3 linked regions of the Canis lupus familiaris genome follow. The protein of the gene in region 3 interacts with the protein of the main gene of each other region in a biochemical or structural test. Links are inferred from orthologs where the notes say so. Each region holds a gene or a part of one and is shown on either strand. Other genes may lie near its edges. The genes, in order: MECP2, U2AF2 and pre-mRNA-processing factor 40 homolog A.

Region 1 (8,299 bases), on a different chromosome or scaffold from region 3:
CCAAGACTCCCCAGTAGCAATCTGACAAAGCCCTCCACATCCCCCTTGAGGCCGCTCTGCTGCCCAGAACCACCTTCTGGCACACAGCTGCATGATTCACCCCTTGCTTCTTGTAGGATTTTCTCTCTTTTCTCCCTCATTGTGATCCAGTCAGTTTGTTCTTTCAGATACTCACCTTGTCATGGTGTCATCTAGTGCAAGGAGTCCTTTTAGCCACCTCCTATGTCCTTTGACTTTCCCCTCCTCTGTCCAAGCACTCCCCTGCCTTTCTGCCCTCACAGGCCACCGTAGAACCACAACCACCCACTTCTCCCAGGGCCAGCCTGGTTCCCTCCATGGATGCTGGACATGTTCCCTAACCCTGGGTGCCATATCAGGCCTTAAAATATGTCCCACCAAGGATATGCAGAGCAGTGTGGTCAGAGGTATTTGAAATAAATTTTCTCTTTGGTGTGGTATCAGTTTGATACATGGTTCAGTTTGTTTGTGTTTGCATTCAATACAGTAGGGTTTTGGTACTGTTTACTTTCTCATTTTGGTTATGTAAACTTTTATATGATTCAGAGAGGTCTTGCCTTGCGCCTATACCTTAGCTCGTTCCCACCCATCCTGGGACTAGGAAGTACTTCTTCCCTTGTTTCTCACGTGAAAGGCATCCTGTGATCTGTAGGAGATCCAGAGGTGCTCCTTCTCAGCCCTCTCAGGCTGCATGGCTCTCCATGCTATAGGCATGGCATCGTCCATTCAGTACGTCTTTGTTGGTAGCTCTATGAGTTGTATGCAGTACTGGGTCAGGAAAAATGATGCCGTTAACAAATAATATCATAGACTTAACTGTTTGGCATTTCTGGGGGTGTGTCTTTTTAGGGTAGAGTTCTAGAAGGGATTGACCTTGATGGCATCGACACCCTTGATTGTATCTAAGAGGCATTCCTGGGATATGTGGTTTGTACTTGACCTCATGGATGGTTAAACTATTTGGGGAATATAAATGAGTGTTCTGGAGAAACCAAACCTTTCCCATGGGTGCAGTGTTGTCTGCCGACTCCAGGACTATCCAGGTTCCAGGGAGTAGCCCTGGCCTTCAGCGGTGGCCCGTGGACTGTGTGGGAGTGGTCATTCCAGTTCATCTGCCACTCTGCTGCTGGCAAGCTCCCCTTCTCCCCTCTGTGTTGGGGGACTACAGGCTATAGGCCACACCAAGCTTCTCAGGATTCTTCCTCAATTCCTGCTGAAAGGCTAATAAGACTGTGATAATTGAAAACTAAGCTCTGTGCTGCAACAGATTAGAGACCCTCACTTTACAGCAAGAGAAGATCTCCTGTGGGCCGTGGGCTAAATCAGGGTCACCATGGCAGCCATGCTTTAGAGTCCTGAGCTGCTAAAGGATGACCCAGGATAGGGAGGAACTCAGGGACAAGCCTGTCTCCCAACCCCTGACCTGAGCTGTTCAGAAAAGGCATGTTCTCATGGTGCCAAGAGTCCTGATACTAACCCACCTTTGGCAGCTTACTGACATCATTTGAGTCTGGTTTCCAGTACATACCACAGTGCCTCCATTGGAGTCTCCACAGTGTGAACAAGGGGGTTGCTTGGGGTAGACTGGCCATGAGGCAGTGACCAGTGCTGACACGAGCCACATGGGACAGGGCAGCTCTAGGGCTTAGATATCAAGGGCAGGAATAGTCTCATTCTCTTCTAGACTGAATTGCTGAGAGACCAGCAGATGGCTGGTTCCAAGCCTCCCCAGCGTGGGTGGTGTTCCTGCCCTCTTAGCCCTGCTTTAAGAACACCACGGGCGGACTGATTCCAGGGTCCAGGGCCTTTCCAGTGCACACAAGGAAGGGACCCTACCAGGTGGAGCCAAAATAGCAGGAAGGAGCTGCTCTGTCAGTGTGAAAGCATAAGGAGGTGCCCACCCTGGAGTGGGGAGGGTGCTCTTCTGTGCCTTTGTCCTTGCTCTCCCCTTCTACTGGTTGAGTGTAAGGCAGTCATGGCTTGTAAAGGAATGTCTGATAATAAAAGTTTAGCAGACCTGGGGTGCCTTCTCCTCACTCCAGAACCCTGGGCAGCAGTTTCTGGTTGCCCGAGTTGGCTAGTGTTTATATGGTGCTTTTGTGACTTTTCTTCCTCTGGGGTGTTGGTGCCTATTACCAAGATGAGGAAACTAAGGCACGGAATGTTGAGGTCACTTGCTCAGGTCCATGTTTAGAAGTTGCCAAGTCAGAATTTGAGCTCAGGTTGGGCTGGCTCCAAACCTGTGTGTTTTCTCCACAGCACTGTGCTGTGCCTTATCTCCCAAGGGGGTAGTGCTAGGCTCTGCCACCATCAGTAAGTTGCATCGTGCTCCCTGACTGTTTTATCAAGCACACATTTGAGAAAACTTACAATACAGAAGCTATACTAACACCCAAGCCAGGTCTTTCGTGAAGAGGAGCCCTGGCCACATTTTGGGTGGGCAGCTCCCTCTCCAGTAGTCAAGGGCCTCTTGTCAGCCATGAAGTCTAGAGACTGTTGGGCACAGCTTGTAAAGTGGCCTCTTCCGAGGCAGTACACTGAGAAGCCACCTAGTGTTTCTACCCAGAAAAATGCCGCTCATTCTCCTGCTTGTTAGGAGTGGGACTTGGGACAGAAGGACTCAGAGTGGTCACAGTGCAGGTAGGGTAAAGCCCAAAGCCCCCAAAGAAATCTTTGAAGGAGAAAGGCATCAGGATCTGGGTGAGCATCGGTGGGGCAGCCCTGTCTCTCAGAGCCCTGCCTGTGCTGGGGTGCCCCAAACCCGCCATTGCTTACTTTTTCTACAAATCGGTGTGTTCCCTGTGATACTTACATACTTATTTAACACTTCAGGGAAGAAAAGTCAGAAGACCAGGATCTCCAGGGCCTCAAGGACAAACCCCTGAAATTTAAAAAGGTGAAGAAAGAGAAGAAAGAAGACAAAGAGGGCAAGCATGAGCCCCTGCAGCCACCGGCTCACCACTCTGCTGAACCAGCAGAGGCAGGCAAAGCGGAGACCTCAGAAGGGTCAGGCTCAGCCCCAGCTGTCCCGGAAGCTTCTGCCTCCCCCAAACAGCGACGCTCTATCATTCGTGACCGGGGACCCATGTATGACGACCCCACTCTGCCTGAAGGTTGGACCCGAAAGCTTAAACAAAGGAAATCTGGCCGCTCCGCTGGGAAGTATGATGTGTATTTGATCAAGTAAGTAAGGGCAACTCCTGTCTCTACAAAGCAGGGAAGGCTGGGTGGGCAGGAGGCTGGGGCCAGGTGCTGAGAAACTAATGGGGATCCCTTAGAGTGGCAGCTCTTTTTTTACTCGATGATCAGGAAAATGTGTGTATATCACCCATCTTGGGCTGGGGGTGGCTTCAATAATGAACACCACTTGCAGACCCCTCCAGGTATGTTTCAAATGACTGTGTACAGAGTTCACCGCCCTGAGTGTGACTTTACCCCACCAGCCCTTGAGGTCTTGTCTGGAGATGGCATCGCAGTAGGGCCTACCCAGGGCCACAGTGAGGACACAAGAAAGAGAGGTCGCCTGAGAAACATTGAGGACACAAGGCCCTGCCCAGGCTGGTCCCAGAGGCCACAGGACCTGCCATGTGTAGTGGCCTGTGCTTGGAAGGCAAGCAGGGCTCTCTGGGTTCCTCTCATTTCCCAGCTGGGAAACATCCAGCTGATGGGCTCTTCTCAGAACCTGTTAAACAACTCTTCTTTCTGTCAGTCATTCCGTGACTTGGCTGCATGACCCAGAAGAAGTAGGAGTTCAGAGGGCTCAGTCTACTCTCTGAATCATGTTGGGAAAGGTGAGCTCTCTGACAGGGCCTCTGGGGACACATTGGTGTCTCTTCATGTGCCTTTCCAACTGTCATTGGTGCATTTGTCCAGCTTTGAGCTGGTCATTGGGCATTTTCTATTGAAACAGTGTAATTCAGGGATCCCTGGGTGGCGCAGCGGTTTGGCGCCTGCCTTTGGCAGAGGGCGCGATCTTGGAGACCCGGGATCGAATCCCACGTTGGGCTCTCAGTGCATGGAGCCTGCTTCTCCCTCTGCCTATGTCTCTGCCTCTCTCTCTCTCTCTGTGTGACTATCATAAATAAATAAAAATTTAAAAAAAAAAAAAAAAAAAAAAAAAAAAAAGAAACAGTGTAATTCCCAAGCCAGAGCTTCAGAGAAGGACTGAATAAATACATTTCAGTTCTGGCCCTTAGATGATCCAGAAAAGATAAACAGTTTATTTGCAGACATCCTCATTTGATCGCAACAACTCTGAGAAGGGTGAACAAAAAGCATTATCCTACTGACAGATGAGGAAACCGATCCCAGAGAGGCTAAGCAGCATGCCCAGGTTCAGACAGAGAGGAGTGCTTTACTTACTGACTGGGCCCAGGCACCAACCAGCAGAATGCCTGCCCCTCAGCCTTCTGGCTCAAGCGGGTCTCCAGGCCAGGCCCCTTTGGGAGCCAGAGGAGGGGCCTTGGTGGTAGGCGGATCCTCAGGGGCAATAGCTGCAGAGCAGCTGACACCCAGCTGTTCTTGTCACTGGAGCACACCCTGTGGGTGCTCTCCGCCGCCCAGCAACCCAGTTGCTTTGTGTGTGACCATGCCCCTCTAATTTCAGCCCATTTTGGCTTTTCTCTAATGTGACTCTCATTGAATAGTATCATCAGGCAGGTCAATTGCAGAACGTCCTGTCACAGAATTCAGCACATTCTTCCTGCCCCATCTTTGTACATTAGCGGGGAAGCTTCTAATCGTTCTTTGTGTCTCTCCATTTGTTCCCACAGTCCCCAGGGAAAAGCCTTTCGCTCTAAAGTGGAGTTGATTGCGTACTTCGAAAAGGTAGGCGACACCTCCCTGGACCCTAATGATTTTGACTTCACGGTAACTGGGAGAGGGAGCCCCTCCCGGCGAGAGCAGAAACCACCTAAGAAGCCCAAATCTCCCAAAGCTCCAGGAACTGGCAGAGGTCGGGGACGCCCCAAAGGGAGCGGCACTGCGAGACCCAAGGCAGCAACATCAGAGGGTGTGCAGGTGAAAAGGGTCCTGGAGAAAAGTCCCGGGAAGCTGCTCGTCAAGATGCCTTTTCAAGCTTCGCCCGGGAGCAAGGCTGAAGGGGGCGGGGCCACCACGTCAGCCCAGGTCATGGTTATCAAACGCCCAGGCCGGAAGCGAAAAGCCGAGGCTGACCCCCAGGCCATTCCCAAGAAGCGGGGCCGAAAGCCAGGCAGTGTGGTGGCAGCTGCCGCCGCAGAGGCCAAAAAGAAAGCCGTGAAGGAGTCTTCCATCCGGTCCGTGCAGGAGACTGTGCTCCCCATCAAGAAGCGCAAGACTCGGGAGACGGTCAGCATTGAGGTGAAGGAGGTGGTGAAGCCCCTGCTGGTGTCCACCCTCGGCGAGAAGAGTGGAAAGGGACTGAAGACCTGCAAGAGCCCCGGACGGAAAAGCAAGGAGAGCAGCCCGAAGGGGCGCAGCAGCAGCGCCTCCTCACCCCCCAAGAAGGAGCACCACCACCATCACCACCACTCAGAGCCCCCGAAGGCACCCGCGCCGCTGCTTCCGCCCCCGCCCCCTCCCCCACCTGAGCCCCAGAGCTCCGAGGACCCCGCCAGCCCCCCTGAGCCCCAGGACTTGAGCAGCGGCGTCTGCAAAGAGGAGAAGATGGCGAGAGGAGGCTCGCTGGAGAGCGACGGCTGCCCCAAGGAGCCAGCTAAGACTCAGCCCACGGTCGCGACCGCCGCCACGGCCGCAGACAAGTACAAACACCGAGGGGAGGGAGAGCGCAAAGACATTGTTTCATCCTCCATGCCAAGGCCAAACAGAGAGGAGCCTGTGGACAGCCGGACGCCCGTGACCGAGAGAGTTAGCTGACTTTACACAGAGCGGATTGCAAAGCAAACCAACAAGAATAAAGGCAGCTGTTGTCTCTTCTCCTTATGGGTAGGGCTCTGACAAAGCTTCCCGATTAACTGAAATAAAAAATATTTTTTTTTCTTTCAGTAAACTTAGAGTTTCGTGGCTTCAGGGTGGGAGTAGTTGGAGCATTGGGATGTTTTTCTTACCGACAAGCACAGTCAGGTTGAAGACCTAACCAGGGCCAGAAGTAGCTTTGCACTTTTCTAAACTAGGCTCCTTCAACAAGGCTTGCTGCAGATACTACTGACCAGACAAGCTGTTGACCAGGCTTCTTAGGGTATGCCTGCACCTCCCCTCCCACCCAGACCTCCCCCCACCCCCCATGTGCTCATTAGGGACAGAGAGTGGTTGAGAGGACACTCCCAGTCTCAGCTCTCCTCTCCTCCCGCCCTGCCCCACCCCCATCCCCCCAGCTCCTCCACCTTCCCCATCCCTACCCACATTGGGACAAGGAGGTGTGAGGCAGGAGAGACAGTTGGATTCTTTAGAGAAAAAGACAGAGATGGCCAGTGGCTACAGCCTGTGTGATCTCACCCATGGTGGCACAAATCTGGCCCCACGCCAGCCCCAATCCAAAACTGACTAGGACATTTCACAGGACAGGGAAGTAGTACCTGTTCACTCCAGTTCTGGCATGGCTAGGAGGGAGTCAGTCCTTTGAGCTGCTGGGTGTAGACTGGCCTGAGCCAGAGGAGAGGATGGCCGAGGGCCGTTCTCCAGTGGGTGGCGAGAGAGAGAGAGAGAGAGAGAGAGAGAGAGAGAGGCCGTGGAAGCAACGGGACAAGGCGTAGGCAGGCTGGCCCCGGGCTCCTGGGCTCCTCCGGGTGGCACAGAGCAGTGGGGCTCATGGAATTCCTAGTTGCTCAGAGCAGTCTGTGACTGGTAGGTAGAGGCCTAGTGGACAGGTTGGGGGGCCAGGGGGAAGTAGGGGAAAATGTTCTTCCAAAACTTTCCAATTCTACTCCTTTAGGGACAGCTTAGAACTATTTGCACTATTGAGTCTTCATGTTCCCACTTCAAAACAAACATGCTCTGAGAGCAAACTGGCTTGAATTGGTGACACTTTGTCCCTCAAGCCACCAGACATGACGGTGTTTAGAACTACCTGGATCTGTATATACCTGCGCTTGTTTTAAAGTGGGCTCAGCACATAGGGTTCCCACGAAGCTCCGAAACTCTAAGTGTTTGCTGCAATTTTATAAGGACTTCCTGATTGGTTTCTCTTCTGTCCTTCCATCTCTGCCTTCTTTCATCCATCCTTTCATTTCTTCCCCTCCTCGTTCATCCCTTCTGTACCAGGCACCCACAGTTCCAAGCTTTACCTGAGCTGATGCTGGTCAGCTCAGGCCCCCAGATCTCACCCTGCCCTTGGCCTTCCCACTGCCAGCCCTAGCCCCGACCCAGCCCATTCTGAGGCCTGAGGAAAACCCGGGCTCTGCTGAGTCCACCTGGCCCTAGCACCCTGGCCTCTCCGAAGGGCAAGAGAGCAGCAAGATCTTGCTCTCTGAGGGAGCTCCCTTCCCTGGTCAGACCCTGGATTCTGGGCCTTCTCGACCTTCTATCCAAGAAAAGCAAGCAGGAGAAGTTGGACAGATTTGGATTTGGAAGCTGAGGGTAGCACAGAGGCCCCCATGGCCTGCCATAGTCACCGAGTAGCCCAGCCCTGACCTTGACCTCGCCAGGCCCAGCCAGCATAGTGCAGTGCAATGGGGCGGCAGGTGGGAAGAAATGCAGACGCCCCAGACCTGAGCTGGGACGGGCACCTAGACCCCTGGCCCCTCGGCTCCTCCTATAAGTTAACCATGAGTTCTTTTCTGATGGAAAATGCCTGGCTTTTGCTTGCTGGAGACTGGGTGAGGCCAGCATATCACACATCTCCACATCTGTGCCAGGGGAATGGTGTGGGGGCCGAGAGGCTTGGGTTTGCTATGGGTGTTCATTGATCAATCTCCACTTAGGACCCCATCCTGTCATTCTGTGTTCAGGAAGTCCTTATCTAGCTGCATATCTTCATCATATTGGTATATCCTTTTCTGTGTTTACAGAGATGTCTCTTATATCTAAATCTGTCCAACTGAGAAGTACCTTATCAAAGTAGCAAATGAGACAGCAGTCTTATGCTTCCAGAAACACCCACAAGCACGTCCCATGCGAGCTGCTGCCATGAACTGTCAAGTGCGTGTTGTCTCGTGTATTTCAGTTATTGTCCCCTGGCTTCCTTATTGCGGTGTAACCATGAAGGAGTGAAACATCCTAAAAACCGTCTAGCACTTCCTTGCCAGTCCTTAGTGATCAGGAACCATAGTTGACAGTTCCAATCAGTAGCTTAAGAAAAAAAAAAACGCGTTTGTCTCTTCCGGAATGGTTAGAAGCAAGGGAG
Region 2 (7,684 bases), on a different chromosome or scaffold from region 3:
CCACCCAGGTGTTCTTTTTTTTTTTTTCTTTTTATAAAGATTTTATTTATTTATTCATAGAGACACAGTGAGAGGGGCAGAGGCACAGGGAGAGGGAGAAGCAGGCTCCATGCAGGGAGCCTGATGTGGGACTCGATCCAGGGTCCCCAGGATCACACCCCAGGCTGCAGGCAGCGCTAAACCTCTGCGCCACCAAGGGCTGCCCCCACCCAGGTGTTAAGATTTTTTTTTTTTTTTTTTAAAGATTTATTTATTTATTTTTATTTGTGATAGAGAAAGAGGCAGAGACACAGGAGGAGGGAAAAGCAGGCTCCATGCCGGGAGCCTGACATGGGACTCGATCCCGGGACTCCAGGATTGTGCCCTGGGCCAAAGGCAGGCGCCAAACTGCTGAGCCACCCAGGGATCCCTTCTTAAGATGTTTTTAATTATATAAGGAGCCTGCTTACTTGTCGAAGCTTACTATGTCAGGCACTTTGCCGAGTGGGGTCCATGGATCAGGTTAGTTTTTGTGACAGCTGTGTAGTACAAAGTCTGCAACTGACAGCTAGGGGTCAAATGTAGCTTACCAGTAAGCCTGTTTTCCTAAAGTGGGCTCTGCGTCCGGTGTGTACTCATGTACTCACTGTACTCCATGTACTTCAGCAAAAGGCATGTGCTCCACCTTCTGAGCCAGCCAGGTGCCCCTTGCCCATTTTTTTAAATAAAGATTAACTGGCACAGAGCCGAGTCCACTCGTTGTCTAGCGTCTGTATGACTTTTCTGCAGCAGCGGTCAGTTTGGATGAGAGACCCCGTGGCCCACAAACTGAAAATGTTTGCCACCCAGCTCTTTGGTGAGAGGCTTGCCAGCCACTGTTGTGTGTACCGCGATCCTGTTTCAGACCGGAGGAGAGCAAGGCAAGGCATGATAATGGTCTCTAGAGTTGGTGCTGTGCGGTCTTCCATAGCACCTTCTGACACAGGCCCTTTACCGTGTGGGAACAGAGACCTCGCGGGTCAGGGATAGCTTGTATTGGATCGTCTTCCCAGATTCATGGGCCCCTTTCTAGACGTAACTATTGGCGTGACTAAGCAGCTGAAGCGTGGGTCATCATCCATCTCTGTTCTTTGGGATTTGCTCACCCAGAGGGACCTGAGGGTCTGCAGTACTAGTGCCTGGGCAGGTGGCAGGAAGTGTGATTGTGCTTGTAGATTGAGCATCTTCTAGTTACCTTTTCATAGCGAAGTTCATATTTCAGTCTTCATTTTTTGGTTTAAAAAAAAAAACAATTTTATTATACAAGGAGGCTAAAGAGGAAAGCATGTGTGATAAAATTTAGCAGATGTTCTTGGCTGGAAGAGAAACAGTTCAGGAACCTGGAAGGCAACTTTCTGACCTTGATGGAAATGTGTTGATTAAACATGCATCACTTGGGGTTGTGAAATCTTGAGTTCATCTGCCCCTGAAGTCAGGCCTTGCTGTTGAGTGCTGGTGACAGGATCCTGGTGGTTCTTTGAAGACAAGAGGGAGACTGAGGTGGGGGGTGGGCCAGAGCTGTCTTTGGAAGCAGGGGAGCCCAGTAGTTATTCAGTGTGAGTTCAGCTCAGCTGTGAGCACCCGCCCACTGCCATGCCAGGCTCCCTTCCCCGTGCAGGGCCGAGTCCTAATCCCCCCCCCCCCCCCGCCCCCTCATCAGGCTCCTGCCACTGGGGCCTCACCCCCATGTACCCACTCCCTTATACCCACTCCCTTGGCAGAGTCCTATTCTGCCTGGTCTGGTGGTGAGTGCATGGTAGGAGAAAGTGGTATTCTAGGCACAGGGAAAGATTGCTCAGCCTTTGGGGGTCTAGTGTGGCCTTCAGAGAGGAGGTGTGTGCCAGGTGGACCCTCTGAAGGAGTGGATGTGTGGTCAGGGAGGAGGAGCCTGTCCATCCTTTTTTTTTTTTTCTTAAGATTTTATTTATTTATTCATGAGACATAGATAGAGGCAGACACACAGGCAGAGGAAGCAGGCTCCATGCAGGGAGCCCAATGTGGGACCCGATCCCAGTTCTCCAGGATCAGGCCCCGGGTTGAAGGTGGCACGAAACCACTGAGCCACCCGGGCTGCCCTGCCCATCCTATTGGGAGCGGATGTTGCCAGGGGCTTGATTTTGGGCACTGGGATTGATTGGTATCCCCATTTTCTGGCTGTGTGACTCTGTACGATAATAGTCCCCTGCTTCAGAACCGTCGTTCACTCAGGGTCTGCAGTCATTTATAGCTCTGGTCTCAGGCCCTATTTCAGGTGTACGCCCCATGTGGGTCATCCTCATCCTCCTGTGTCATAGATGCGAACACATAGAGCCTCACTTGGTGCTGTACCCCAGATTTGAACCCAGGGAGTCTGACCCTGGTGCCCTAAGCTCTGCATGCTTCCCTGGAGTGGATGGCACAGCAGATAGCAGCCAAGGCCAGCTGGCTGAGGGTCATCTGGCTCTGCCACTACTCCCTACTGGGGTGATGGAATCTCTGCTTTGCCTAGTCAGCCATCGTTCAGAGCTTTGGTACCTGTGTAAAGTCCCTAGCTTGCCGAGAGCTGCCTGTGGGAGGCACAGGTGTTATGGGCTTGGGGACCCCTCTTTCTGTGTGTGTGACTCCAAGATAGAACCAACTTTCTCTGCCTCAGTTTATCCTGTCTGGATAGGGCTTTGGAGAGCACGGATAGTAGACTTCATGAATTTACCTGTGGTGTCTGGCCTGTGGCCTCTGCGTAGCCTACCTTGGACACGCTGGATCTTCATGGTCTGCCCACCCCCCCACAGGCCCCACTCTGATGGTGCTTAGCTCTGGTTGAAGTGGCTGGGGTGGTGTCAGGAGAAAATGCACTCTTTTTTGTGTCCAGTCACTCAGTGTCTGATGCTTTCTGCCATCTTTCATTTCACCTGTCCGACCCTAGCTAGGTCAGGAAGAAGTGTGGAGGGGCTGCTTGGTGTGGACTGCTGAGGTGGGCCGGGCCATGCTGCTTTTGGTAGTGGGCTCTGGCCTTTGGAAAGTCAGGAACTGGTCGGGCCTGACCAGTGGTGTTTCTCTTCCAATGAGCCCTGATAGTGATCTGGGGCTCTGGGTAGCTCACACCTCACAGGAGGCCCCTGGGAATTAAACGACATGCTTTTGAAGCCAGTGGACAACAGGCTGAGCCACCTGGCAGGCACTTGTGTCTGAATCCAAAATTGAGTGGATATGGCAAGATTGGGGTGGATGCAGAGTAGTCATTAAACCATTCAGCCGACAAACATGAGCCCACTGTGATGTCCCTGAGGTCAGCAAGCTGAGTCGACTGGGCATGTCCCTGCCTTCGCAGACCCAGAGCAGCAGGCCAAAGAGGGAGTTGCTGGGTTTTTGTGGTTGCAAAAAGCTCGGGACCACAGAGAGAAGGACCAAGGGTCTCAACGGGAGACCTGATGTAAACGTCTGGGTGGTAGGAATGGCATTGGGGTTGTGATCTGAAAGACGGAGGGGGTGTAGGTGTGTCATCCTGATGTCTTACCAGTAAGGGCGAGTGCTGCCAGGACTTGTGGTTGGCAGGTTTGAGGTGTGGCCCCTTAGTGGGGACCCTCGCTGTGGTGCCACCCTGGTGTCGTGGCACATCCGAAGAAGAGCTGCTAGTGTGAGTCTTAGGGTCTGGATAGGTTTGGGAGACCGTGGTTTTGTCAGCGTTGCTGGGCCACCTTGGCTGATATAATGGGCCAGGCCCTGTGCACACACCCCGGGGTCTTGGTTAAAGACCCTGTGCTGGAAACCAAAGCCTATGTACTCCCCTTCCCCCCAGGAGTTGTGTCCACCGTGGTCCCGGACTCTGCCCACAAGCTGTTCATCGGGGGCTTACCCAATTACCTGAACGACGACCAGGTAGATCCCTCGCCTCCTTCTGGCTTCTCCCCTCCCACTCTTTACCTCAACCAGCCCTGACGGAGTTGCGGCCCTGCCGCAGGTCAAAGAGCTGCTGACGTCGTTTGGGCCTCTCAAGGCCTTCAACCTGGTCAAGGACAGCGCCACAGGGCTCTCCAAGGGCTACGCCTTCTGTGAGTACGTGGACATCAACGTTACGGATCAGGTGAGCCCGGGCCCCTGCCCTGCTGTGTCCACTCCCAAGTCGCCCTCCTGGGGATGGGTGGGAGGAGGCCAGCTTAGGTAGGGTCCTGTGTGGGGGACTGGGCCCCTTCCCCTTGGTTCCGGCTCCTGCCAGGTGCTCACTCTTTGGCCTTTCCTCTCACCACCAGTGCCCAGCTCTGGGGTATTGGGGCTTGGTGGGAGGCGTCAAGTCCTGCACCTGACCCGCACCTTTCTGCTGCACCCCCCCCCTTGTCCTCCGCACACAGGCTATTGCGGGGCTGAATGGGATGCAGCTGGGAGATAAGAAATTGCTCGTGCAGAGGGCAAGTGTGGGAGCCAAGAATGCCACGCTGGTGAGCCCCCCGGCACGTCATCTTCCATTGGCTAGAGGGATACTGGGGAGGGGCGGGGCGGGGTGGCCTGGGGGATGCTGGGAGCAGATCCTCAGAAGCTTCGGCTCCAGCCCTGGCTTTCCTGGGCCTTCAGGGGCGGACGTGATTCTCTGGGTAGGCCTCTGGGGGTTCGGTGTGGCCCTGGCCGTGACAGCCCTGCCCTCCCCCCTTCTCCCCACAGAGCACCATCAACCAGACCCCCGTGACCCTGCAAGTGCCGGGCCTCATGAGCTCCCAGGTACAGATGGGCGGCCACCCAACGGAGGTCCTGTGCCTCATGAACATGGTGCTGCCCGAGGAGCTGCTAGACGATGAGGAGTATGAGGAGATTGTGGAGGATGTGCGAGATGAGTGCAGCAAGTATGGGCTTGTCAAGTCCATTGAGATCCCCCGGCCTGTGGATGGCGTCGAGGTGCCCGGCTGTGGAAAGGTGTGCATGTGTGCATGGGTACACACCAGTGCTATGACTCACATGGGTATAGGGTCCCCCAGGAGTGTGGTCTTGCAGCTGTGCTTCACAGCTTGGCTTTGTCATGTGATCTTACATATGTGGTTCGGTCTTGTCTGTAAGTGGGGAGAAAAGTGCTAAAAACAGAACAGCAGCAAACCCACTCGAGTCTTCTGGGTGCCAGGTACTCCCTGAGCTTAACCTTTGCAACATGAACTCTCATGGCAGCTCTCTTAGCCCTTGCTCAGAGGATGCAGGCCACATGGTCTGATTCCACAGCCCACTGGGTCCTGTCACTTCTGGCACTGTGCTAGGTGTCAGCACCTTGAACCCTTCTTGAGAGGCAGGGAAGAGTGGGTGACTTAGCTTTCCCTAGCCGCTCACCTAGTGATTCAGGCCTTCAAGCAGAACAAGTCCTGGGGCCAGCCTTGTCAAAGACAACATGTGTGATAGTAGCTGGAAAGGGAGTAGAATTGCTCTGCTCTGGATGCTGTTCTTAGACAGGAATAGACACCTCTTAGTCAAGGTTAAGAGTTGATATTAACCAGGCCCAAGTGATAATAGGTTATCCCAGGTAGTAGGGTCCTGAGCAGGGAACCCAATGAACATAGATCTCCTGGGTTATGAGCCTGGTGTGTTTGGGGATGGTGACAAGGCTGGCATAGTCTAAGCAGAGAGCAGTGGGAGATGAGTTCTGAGGTTGGGAGCTGGGGCCTAGTGTGGCAGATCTTGTAGGCCTGTGTGGGTCCTGGAAGAATGTTGGGTGTTCTTGAAGTGAGAAGGAAGCCTTTGAAAGTTCAGGAATGTGGTCTGTTGCCTTGCACATAGAGTTCCTCATAATCAAGTAGGCGTGGACAGGAATTACAGGGAGGTCCAGGTCTTACTCCAGTCCTGCAGAGCTGGGTTCTGCAGGCAGGGAATTCAGAGGGGGGTAGAGGTGGTGGTGGTATGACCTGGAACTTTGGGAACTAACAGCTTATGGTCACTTGGTCGGAAGATGGTGACTTGATGGAAAGTAGCAGCAGAGGATGGAGAGAAGTCAGTCCATGGATTTGAAAGACACGTTACCTGTAAACACCCAGATCCTGGTGGTTGATTTGGGAGGGGGAAGAGGAGTCAAGATGCTCAGATTCCTGGGCTTTGGCAGCTAGGTGGAGATGGCAGGTGAGAAGCAAGGGAGATGAGCAGGTTTGGGGGTGGGGGGTGGGGGTCAGTGTTGGGGAAGAGTGGGCTGTCAGTCTGAGGTCCTGAGACACCTCATTAGAGATGTGTGAAGCAGTGAGGACGGAGCTGCATTCCAGGCATGAGGGAAACATTTCTGATAGAAACAGATGTCATCAACACACTGATCCTCATTTTGGTGTCAGCTGGATAGGATTGCCCAGGGAGCAGTGGAAAGAGAGCCAGGTACCAAGGGACAGGGTTGGGGGGGGGGTGATGAAGGGATGAGCAGCATTTCCTCTCTCTCCTCCCGTGCTCTGCTTCCCAGTCCTCACTGGTGTGGTGTATGTGGTGTGATGGAAGCACCCGCTCCCCTCATGCCTCATGGGCGCTGGGATGGATCCTGGCTCCTGAGGGGCTGAGTCAGTATTTGTGGGAAGGATGAATGGGAAGACCGGCCTGGTGTCGGAGATCCTCCTGTTTTGTTTGTAAACTTTGTCTTTCTTTTCAAACATACATAAAAGTAGAAGTACCACACTGACCTACTATGGTAGGTCACTTTAGTTCCATTGTGGCACATAGAGTAGTATCGTCGTGTCCCATCATCCAGCTTCACTTGTCATTCTTAATTTCCCAACTTCATTTTTCCTGAAATAATTCAACGCATATCTCCTATATTTTATCTCCAATAATCAAGTGTATTGCTTTAGTATCTGAGCTACTAGGATTTGGGGCCTGGTAAGTCTTGCTCTTTGAATTCCGTGCTGTGCACTGTTCGATGTGTGGCCCCATTGCCAGTCTCCACCCTGTAGATGGGGGCTCCTACATGGTAGCACTACACTCCTCCTTTGTGACAGCCTAAAACCTCTCCAGATATTGCAAAATGTTGCTTGGGGACACATTTGTGCTGGTTGAGAACTGCTCTAAACTTTTAACAGAAAACTTTATTTTATTATTTATTTATGATAAGCACACAGTGAGAGAGAGAGAGAGGCAGAGACATAGGTAGAGGGAGAAGCAGGCTCCATGCACTGGGAGCCTGATGTGGGATTCGATCCCGGGTCTCCAGGATCGCGCCCTGGGCCAAAGGCAGGCGCCAAACCGCTGCGCCACCCAGGGATCCCTTTTAACAGAAAACTTCTAAATAATTATAATGAAAGTACAATATCATTGTTACAATAAGAAAATTATTCTTAGGATTTACTTAAATTTGTATTATAATTTCCTTGAGCGTCTCAAATGTCTTTTTATACTTGATCCATTTAAATATCCAAACAAGGATTCATGCAATCTTATTTAGAACTTTCTTAAAACTTAGCAGTTCTATGTAATGCCCCCCCCCCCTTTTTTTTTTTGGTGAGTCATTTTGTTGAAGCAACAGGGCATTTGTCTTACAGAATTGTCATGTTGTGAATTAGGTTGGTATCTTCCCCCTCACCCACTCCCTGTAAACCGGTTTTTTTTTTTTTTTTTTTTTTTTTTAACTGGTGTTTTTTTGTGTTTTTGGTTTTAAGATTTTATTTATTCATTCATGAGAGACAGGCAGAGACATAGGCAGAGGGAGAAGTAGGCTCCATGCAGGAAGTCCGATGTGGGACTTGGTCCC
Region 3 (7,684 bases):
TATCAAACAAAAAGAATGAAAATATTCAAGAATTACCAACTGCACTAGTTTGGGGGTCTTTATAAAATGAAAAGATCATATACTACTAACATCTCTTCCTATATAAAGGTAAAATAACGCAGGAAAAAAAAAAAAAGAACCAGAATGCTTAGGGGAAGAGAATGGAGCAAATATTAAATGGAACAACTACACAAAATATATTCATACCCTCTGAGTCAAGTAACCTTACTTTGGGAAATTTATTCAAAATTATCAGAAATAGTATAAAGGGCCCAGTCAAAAATTACCACCTGTAAATGGTATATGTTGCAGAAATTAAAAAGTTTATGACGATTCAGGTACTAGAAGGAAATACTAGAAAGAAAATAAGCAGAAAGTAATTGTTGCTGAAATTACGAAAAACAAATTATTGTAGAAAAAAATAAAAGTATAGGGATGCCTGGGTGGCTCAGCGATTGGACATCTGCCTTTGGCTCAGGACATGATCCTGGGGTCCGGTCGATCCACAGGGAGCCTGCTTCTCTCTCTGCCTATGTCTCTGCCCCTCTCTGTGTGTCTCTCATGAATAAATAAAATCTTTAAAAAAAAAAGTATAAAAGGATATATAAAATACCATCCCAAAACTTTCAATGTCTATCAGAACACTGAAATTTACATATATGTAATTAATAATCATTCAACATGCTGGAGTATGTATCTTTTTTTAATTTAAATTCAATTAGCCAATATATAGTACATCATTAGTTTTAGATGTAGTGGTCAGTAATTCATCAGTTGTGTATAACACTCCGTGCTCATCACATCACGTGCCTTCCTTAATGTCCTTGACCCAGTTACTCCATCCCCCACCTACCTCTCCACTACAGCAACCCCCAGTTTGTTTCCCAGAGTTAATAGTCTCTCATGCTTTGTCTCCCTCCCTGACTTTTTTCCCCAGTTTTCCCTCCCTTCCCTTGTAGTCCTCCCTCCCTCTCCACTATTGCTTATATTCTACATATGAGGGAAACCATGTAATTGTCTTTCTGTGATTGACTTATTTTACTTAATTACCCTCCAGTCCCATCTATGTTGATGTAAATGGTAGGTATTCATCCCTTCTGATGGTCAAGTGATATTCCATTGTGTATATTATATATATATAATATATATTATTGTGCATTAATGTGTATATTATTATATATATTATATATATAATACACACACACACACACACACACACACACACACCACCTTTCCTTCACCCATTCTTCTGTTGAAGGACATCTCAGCTCCTTCTACACTATGGCTATTGCAGACACTGCTGCTATGAGCATTGGGGTGCACTTTTACTCCATTTGTATCTCTGGGGTAGATAATAGTGCAATTGCTGGGTCATAGGGTAGCTCTATTTTTAACTTTTTGAGGAACCTCCATACGGTTTTCCAGAGTGGTTTTACACCAGCTTGCCACCAACAGTGTAATAAAAGGATTCCTTCTTCTCCATATCCTCCTCAAAAGGTCATTTCCTGACTTGTTAGTTTTAGCCATTCTGACTGGTGTGAGGTGGTATCTCATTGAAGTTTTGATTTGTATTTCCCTGATGCCAAGTGATGTTGAGCAATTTTTCATGTGTCTGTTGGCCATCAGTATGCCTTCTTTGGAGAAATGTCTGTTCATGTCTTCTGCCCATTTCTTGACGGGATTATTTGTTTTTTGGGTGTTTTAAAGTTCTTTATAGATCTTGGGTATTAGCCCCTTAACTGTCATTTGCAAATATCTTCTCCCATTTCACAGCCTGCCTTTTAGTTTTGTTGACTGCTTCCTCTGCTGTGCAGAAGCTTTATATCTTGATGAAGTCCTAAAAGTTCATTTTTGCTTTTGCTTCGCTTGCCTTTAGAGATGGGTATTGCAAGAAGTTGCTGTCATCGAGGTCAAAAAAGTTGCTGCCTGTGTTCTTCTCTAGAATTTTAATGGATTCCTGTCTCACATTAGGTCTTTCAACCATTTTGAGTTTATCTTTGTGTATGGTGTAAGAGATTGGTCTAGTTTCATTTTCCTGCATGTGGCTGTCCAACTTTCCCAGTACTGTTTACTAAAGAGACTGTTTATTTTTTTCCATTGAATATTCTTGCCTACTTGGTCAAAAGATTAGTTGACTAATAGAGTTCGAAGTCCATTTCTGGGTTGTCTATTCTGTTCCACTGACCTATGTGTCTGTTTTCATGCAGTACCATGCTGTCTTGATCACAGCTTTGTAAGGCATTAAGATGCTCCCAACTCTGGCATTCTTTTCCAACATTCCTCTGGCTTTTTGGGGTCTTTCCTGGTTCCAAACAAATCTGAGGGATTATTTGTTTCAGCTCTGTGAAAAATGTCATTGGTATTTTGATAGAGATTCCATCAAATGTGTAGATTGCTCCGGGCAGCATAGACATTTTAACAATATTTACTCTTCCAATCCATGAGCATGGAATGTTTTTCCATCTCTTTGTGTCTTCCTTAATTTCTTCCATAAGTGTTCTGTAGTTTTTACAATACAGATCCTTTACCTCTTTAGTTAGGTTTATTCGTAGGTATCTTATGATTTTTAGTCCATTAGTAAATGGTATCAGATTGGATTAAAAAACAAGACCCGGGGATTCCTGGGTGGCTCAGTGGTTTAGCGCCTGCCTTCGGTCCAGGGTGTGATCCTGGAGTCCCGGGATCAAGTCCCAACATCAGGCTCCCTGCATGGAGCCTGCTTCTCCCTCTGCTTGTGTCTCTGCCTCTCTTCTCTCTCAAGTCTGTGTCTCTCATGAATAAATTAAAAAAAAAAAAAAAAAAAAAAAAAGCAACCAAGACCCATCCATATGCTGTCTACAAGGGACTCATTTTAGACCTAATGACACCTTCAGACTGAAAATGAGGGGATGGAGAACCATTTACTATGCAAATAGACCTCAAAAGAAAGCTGGGATAGCAATCTTCATACTAGATAAATTAGATTTTAAACCAAAGACTGTAGTAAGAGATGGAGACGGACACTATATCATACTTAAAGGGCCTACTCAGCAAGATCTATCGATTATAAATATTTATGCTAATTCGGGAGCAGCCAATAATACCAACCAATTACTAACCAAAGTAAAGAAACAAATAAATAATAATACACTTCCACAACCCACTCACAGCAATAGACAGATCAAAGCAGAAGATCAACAAAGAAACAAGGGCTTTGAATAACACACTCAACCAGATGGACTTCACAGATAATCACAGAATATTCCATCCTATTGCAACAGAACACACATTCTTCTCGACTGCACATGGAACTTTCTCCAGAATAGATCACATACTGGGTGGGTCACAAATCGGGTCTCAACCAATACTAAAAGATTGGGATTATTCCCTACATATTTTCAGACCACACTGCTTTGAAAAACTCAAATCACAGGAGGAAATTTGTTAGGAACTCTAACACTTGGAGGTTAAAAAGCATCCTACTAAAGAATGAATGGGTCAACCAGGAAATTCAAGACTTAAAAAGATTCATGCAAACTAACAAAAATGAAAATACAACTGTTTAAAACCTTGGATATGGCAAAGGCAGTCCTAAAAGGAAGCATATTTCATTACAAGCCTCTTTCAAAAGACTAGAAAAATCTCAAAAACACAAGCTAACCTTTCACCTAAAGGATCTGGAGAAAGCACAGCAAATAAAGCCTAAGAGAGAAGAGAAATAATAAACATCAGAGCATAATTTAACAAAATAGAAGCCAAGAGAACAGTAAAACAGATCAATGAAACTAGGAGGTGGTTCTCTGAAAGAATTAATAAGGCAGATAAAGCCCTAGCCAGACTGATCAAAAGGAAAAGAGAAAAAACCCAAATTAATAAAATCATGAATGAAAGAGTTCATGAGCGACACCAAGGAAATACAAATGATTTTAAGAACATATGAGCAACTATATGCCAAAAAATTAGGCAATCTGGAAGAAATGGATGGACTAGAAACTTATAAACTACCAAAACTGAAACAGGAAGGACAGAAAACCTAAACAGACCAATAACCGACTCTTTATATTGGGATTGTGAGTTGGAGCTCCAGGATGACTGCAGACATTATTAAAAAAAAAAACAAAACAGGTGCCTCAGTGGTTTAGCTGGTTGAGCATCCAACTCTTGCTTTATGATCTCAGGATCCTGAGATGAAGTCCCCATGTTGGGCTCTGCGCTAAGAGGGTAAGTCTGCTTTCCTTCTCCCCCTGCCCTCCTCCCCCACACAAGTGTGTATGCTCTCTCTCTCTCAGATAAATAAATCCTTAAAAGATGAAATAAAACGTAAAAAAGGGCACAAGGAAATACATAAAAATGTTACTGTTGTGCTTTCAAATATACCATGTAGATTCCTTTTTCAACTTCTAAGCATCAGAAAAAAATTTAAAGCTATTTTCACTTTGGGAGCTGTACATAAAATAAAAAAGAATATTTAACAAGAAGTTGGGAGATGAAATCAATGTTTAAATATTAAGAAGATGGGTGATCATGTATGGAATGTGACATCACAGTTAACAGTTATTTAAAAAATATATGTGGACATTAAAGTCAAGAAGCATAGCTCAAGGTTACTTTTTATATCTATATAAAGCACAGCCATAGGAAATATGACCAGATGATACAGAATACACGCACATGTAAACTACAGATTGACAGATACAGCTATTTTGTCATTAAAAAGTTATACCAATTTAATTACACCCTACTAAACAGTTTTCTTACACCGTAGTAAATCTTTATTTTTGTCTACCTAATCTTTGCTTCTATTTGTTCAACATCAAACTATAGCACTTCCTTGCAGAGTTGTGCTAAGTCATACTTGAGCCTGTTGCAAAATAATTAATAATACTAATCCTGTCTCTATTTAAAATTTTGTTATTTTAATAATCATGGGCTTTTCTGCATTAGTTTTGACTTAAAATTTAAAATTGCTGCACGGTAACTGACATATCTTGATTGCTAAGGTGCTTGGAACTCCTCTTTAATTTGTCCCTCGCCCTGTGTCTCTGAAGTCTGGTTTATAAAACTGAGGAATAGTTTTTCAAGAATTTAAGACCATGAGCCCACAAAATTCAGCCTTGGTAATGATTATCTAAAGGTTCATGTTTTGATTCTCAAAAAAATTTTAAACACTCAATGGCTATCAAGTAAACTCAAAATTTCTTCCATTAATGAAGTCTTAATTTTGCAAAAGACAAGTCACTGAACTTACTCGGATACAGTTTCTTGCTTAGCTGCTTCTTCTCCAGTATTACTGGATACTTCCATACTCTGATCCTGAACAGCAGGAGTACTAGTAAGTTGTGCTTGTTCTTCAGTTGAAATCGTCACTGTATTCTCGTTATCTACAACGGTAGCAACAATTGAAGTAACCTCAGGCTCAGGAACAACTGGACCAGTTCCACCAACAGTATTTGAAGCAGAGGTGGAAGCACTGGCATTGGCTGCAGCCGCAGCAGCAGCAGCAGCTGCGGCTGCAGCAACAACAGCGGCAGCGGCTTCTGCAGCAGCCATGGTGCTCATGGTGGTCGGAATTTCTGTTGTAGGAACCGGGGCTGTTGATGTTGTGGTGCACTCTTCTTGCTTACTATATATTAAAAAATAACAACAACAACAAACTGGTCATCTCGTTAATAATCAGAAAGCCATACAATATAGTCTATCATAAAATCAAATGAATAAGATTTATAAAAGAGAGAAAGGCAATGTGACAAACTATTAAGCTATCTGAGAAGACTAAAAACAATGAAACTGGATTACTTCAACTTAACTGAGCAAACATCCAGGATAATATAGCATAGGGACTCATGCAACAATCTGCACTTCCGGAAGTCCAACAATCGTTTTCAATCACAAAATGCCCTACTATCACATTGTATTACATACCATAAAATTTGTCCTATATCATTAATTTCTATATGAACTTTAAATTTTATCCACTTCATATATTCAAAGAACACCTGGATACAGGAATTAAATCAAACCAAACTTTGGACTTTTCTGTAACACAGGCTTCTTAATTCAAAGGATGTAATCCAAATTCCAATAATTACCATCTAGCAAACTGTCCTTTGTATATATCTTGGTAAATATTCTTTTCCCTACCCCAAATCCTCCAAAGATATCACACCATCAGACTGAACATGGTAAATATTATTTACACTATAAAGCAAATATTTAAAACAAGAATGTTACATATTGGAGATCCCAAATTTGTAAATTGTACTGATGTCCAAAACGGCTTACCTGCTTTCTTCGGCTTTGATCATTGCTATTAAAGAGAAAAAAGAACAGTTACCTATGACATGGTTTTTAAATACAATCAATGAAAACAAACTTTAAAGGGAGATAAGGAGAAGTTTCTCATACAGTAAGATTTTAATTTACCATCCAAAAAACCCAAACTTTTTCAGAGCAAATGCTTGCTCCAAAGTTCCAGGACAGCAATTAAAGAATGAAGACAAATTTAAATGACAGCAGTTTTTAGTAAAGTTTCTCTGCACACTGCTACTTTCCCAAAGGCTATTGGCTATTGCAGAACTCAGAATATCTGTATAATTCTGGAATAAAACAGCATTTTCTCTGGGGGGTTAAACTATTTGATCATTTTAAAGGTACCAAATTCAAAATGAGACCAAATTCATATTATGAAATTCCAGCACATATATACTAGCATTGACAGGTAGATAGATAGTTATGCACACCAACTATCTTGTAGTAGGGTTATATCAGAAATGAGCTTGATATTTTTTACATGAATAAAATGGGAATCTACCTATCTACATTATTATTAGCCAATGCTAGTATAGAAATTTAAAGAGCTTTAAAGACTTGCATTCAGTATTTCAGCTTCCATTCCAATTAATTTTTTTTTATGAGTAACAAAAATATTCAGCATCATTAGGGAATGAGATGGTCCACATAATTGGTAACAAAGCTGAACTTTATCAAAGTACTTAAAAAACTTATCCCCCTTTAATGGAAATCATTTCAGAAAGCAGGTTTAGGACGTCTGACAAAACATACTATAGGAGTCATCATTACTAACATAAATTAACATATTTTTCAGATACAATGATGATCCAAGCTAATTACGTGACACAGGAAAAAGGTAAGTAGACTTAAGACCATAGTGCCTTTAGGAAATTTTTATTCTCTTCACTGTCAGATGTCATTCCACACTGATGACTAATTTACTGGCTCCATTTCTTAAAATGCTTCTAAGCATTTTACTTAAGCAATTACTGCTAAGTTGATAATTAATGACACCAGATTCTATTTCAAAAGTGAGAGTAAAAGAACTGAATTCTCAATTTTCACTCTAATCTCTATTTGAAGAACTGGGTTTTATATTAAGTAGTATTTCCCAATTTTCAGGGGTATTTTGAATAGTTAAGGATAATGAAAAATACTCCCTTTGTAAGTGAAGCATGGTATTTTTAAAACTCCTCCTATAACAAACATAAAAGCTAATTTGCAATGTTGTGTTAAAATAAAATCAGCATTAAATGCATAGTCTGATAATATATTAAAATTTTAAACTGAACTCAAAGGCTCTCTGCTATCTGCTACATGGGTGAAGTCACATATTATATGTATGTCTCAACAGCTGTATTTATAAATACTGTACATGATGCCCTTATTCAATTTTCCAATGGTAAATTAATTT

The links.
Region 1: the proteins of pre-mRNA-processing factor 40 homolog A (region 3) and MECP2 form a complex in vitro, tested with the Homo sapiens proteins (2 studies listed by BioGRID, with this or other methods). The link is inferred for Canis lupus familiaris from reciprocal best matches to the Homo sapiens genes PRPF40A and MECP2.
Region 2: the proteins of pre-mRNA-processing factor 40 homolog A (region 3) and U2AF2 form a complex in vitro, tested with the Homo sapiens proteins (2 studies listed by BioGRID). The link is inferred for Canis lupus familiaris from reciprocal best matches to the Homo sapiens genes PRPF40A and U2AF2.

Annotation. Positions count from the first base shown.
Region 1 is NC_049260.1:123,058,113-123,066,411, reverse strand, and holds MECP2 (methyl-CpG-binding protein 2), read left to right. Parts: upstream 1-2,850; 5' UTR 2,851-3,103; coding exon 3,104-3,201; intron 3,202-4,790; coding exon 4,791-5,874; 3' UTR 5,875-6,007; downstream 6,008-8,299. UniProt on the Homo sapiens protein: Chromosomal protein that binds to methylated DNA. It can bind specifically to a single methyl-CpG pair. It is not influenced by sequences flanking the methyl-CpGs.
Region 2 is NC_049222.1:102,841,466-102,849,149, reverse strand, and holds part of U2AF2 (splicing factor U2AF 65 kDa subunit), read left to right. Parts: intron 1-3,793; coding exon 3,794-3,873; intron 3,874-3,955; coding exon 3,956-4,078; intron 4,079-4,343; coding exon 4,344-4,442; intron 4,443-4,650; coding exon 4,651-4,899; intron 4,900-7,684. UniProt on the Homo sapiens protein: Plays a role in pre-mRNA splicing and 3'-end processing. By recruiting PRPF19 and the PRP19C/Prp19 complex/NTC/Nineteen complex to the RNA polymerase II C-terminal domain (CTD), and thereby pre-mRNA, may couple transcription to splicing.
Region 3 is NC_049240.1:55,429,443-55,437,126, forward strand, and holds part of pre-mRNA-processing factor 40 homolog A, read right to left. Parts: intron 6,287-7,684; coding exon 6,262-6,286; intron 5,603-6,261; coding exon 5,228-5,602; intron 1-5,227.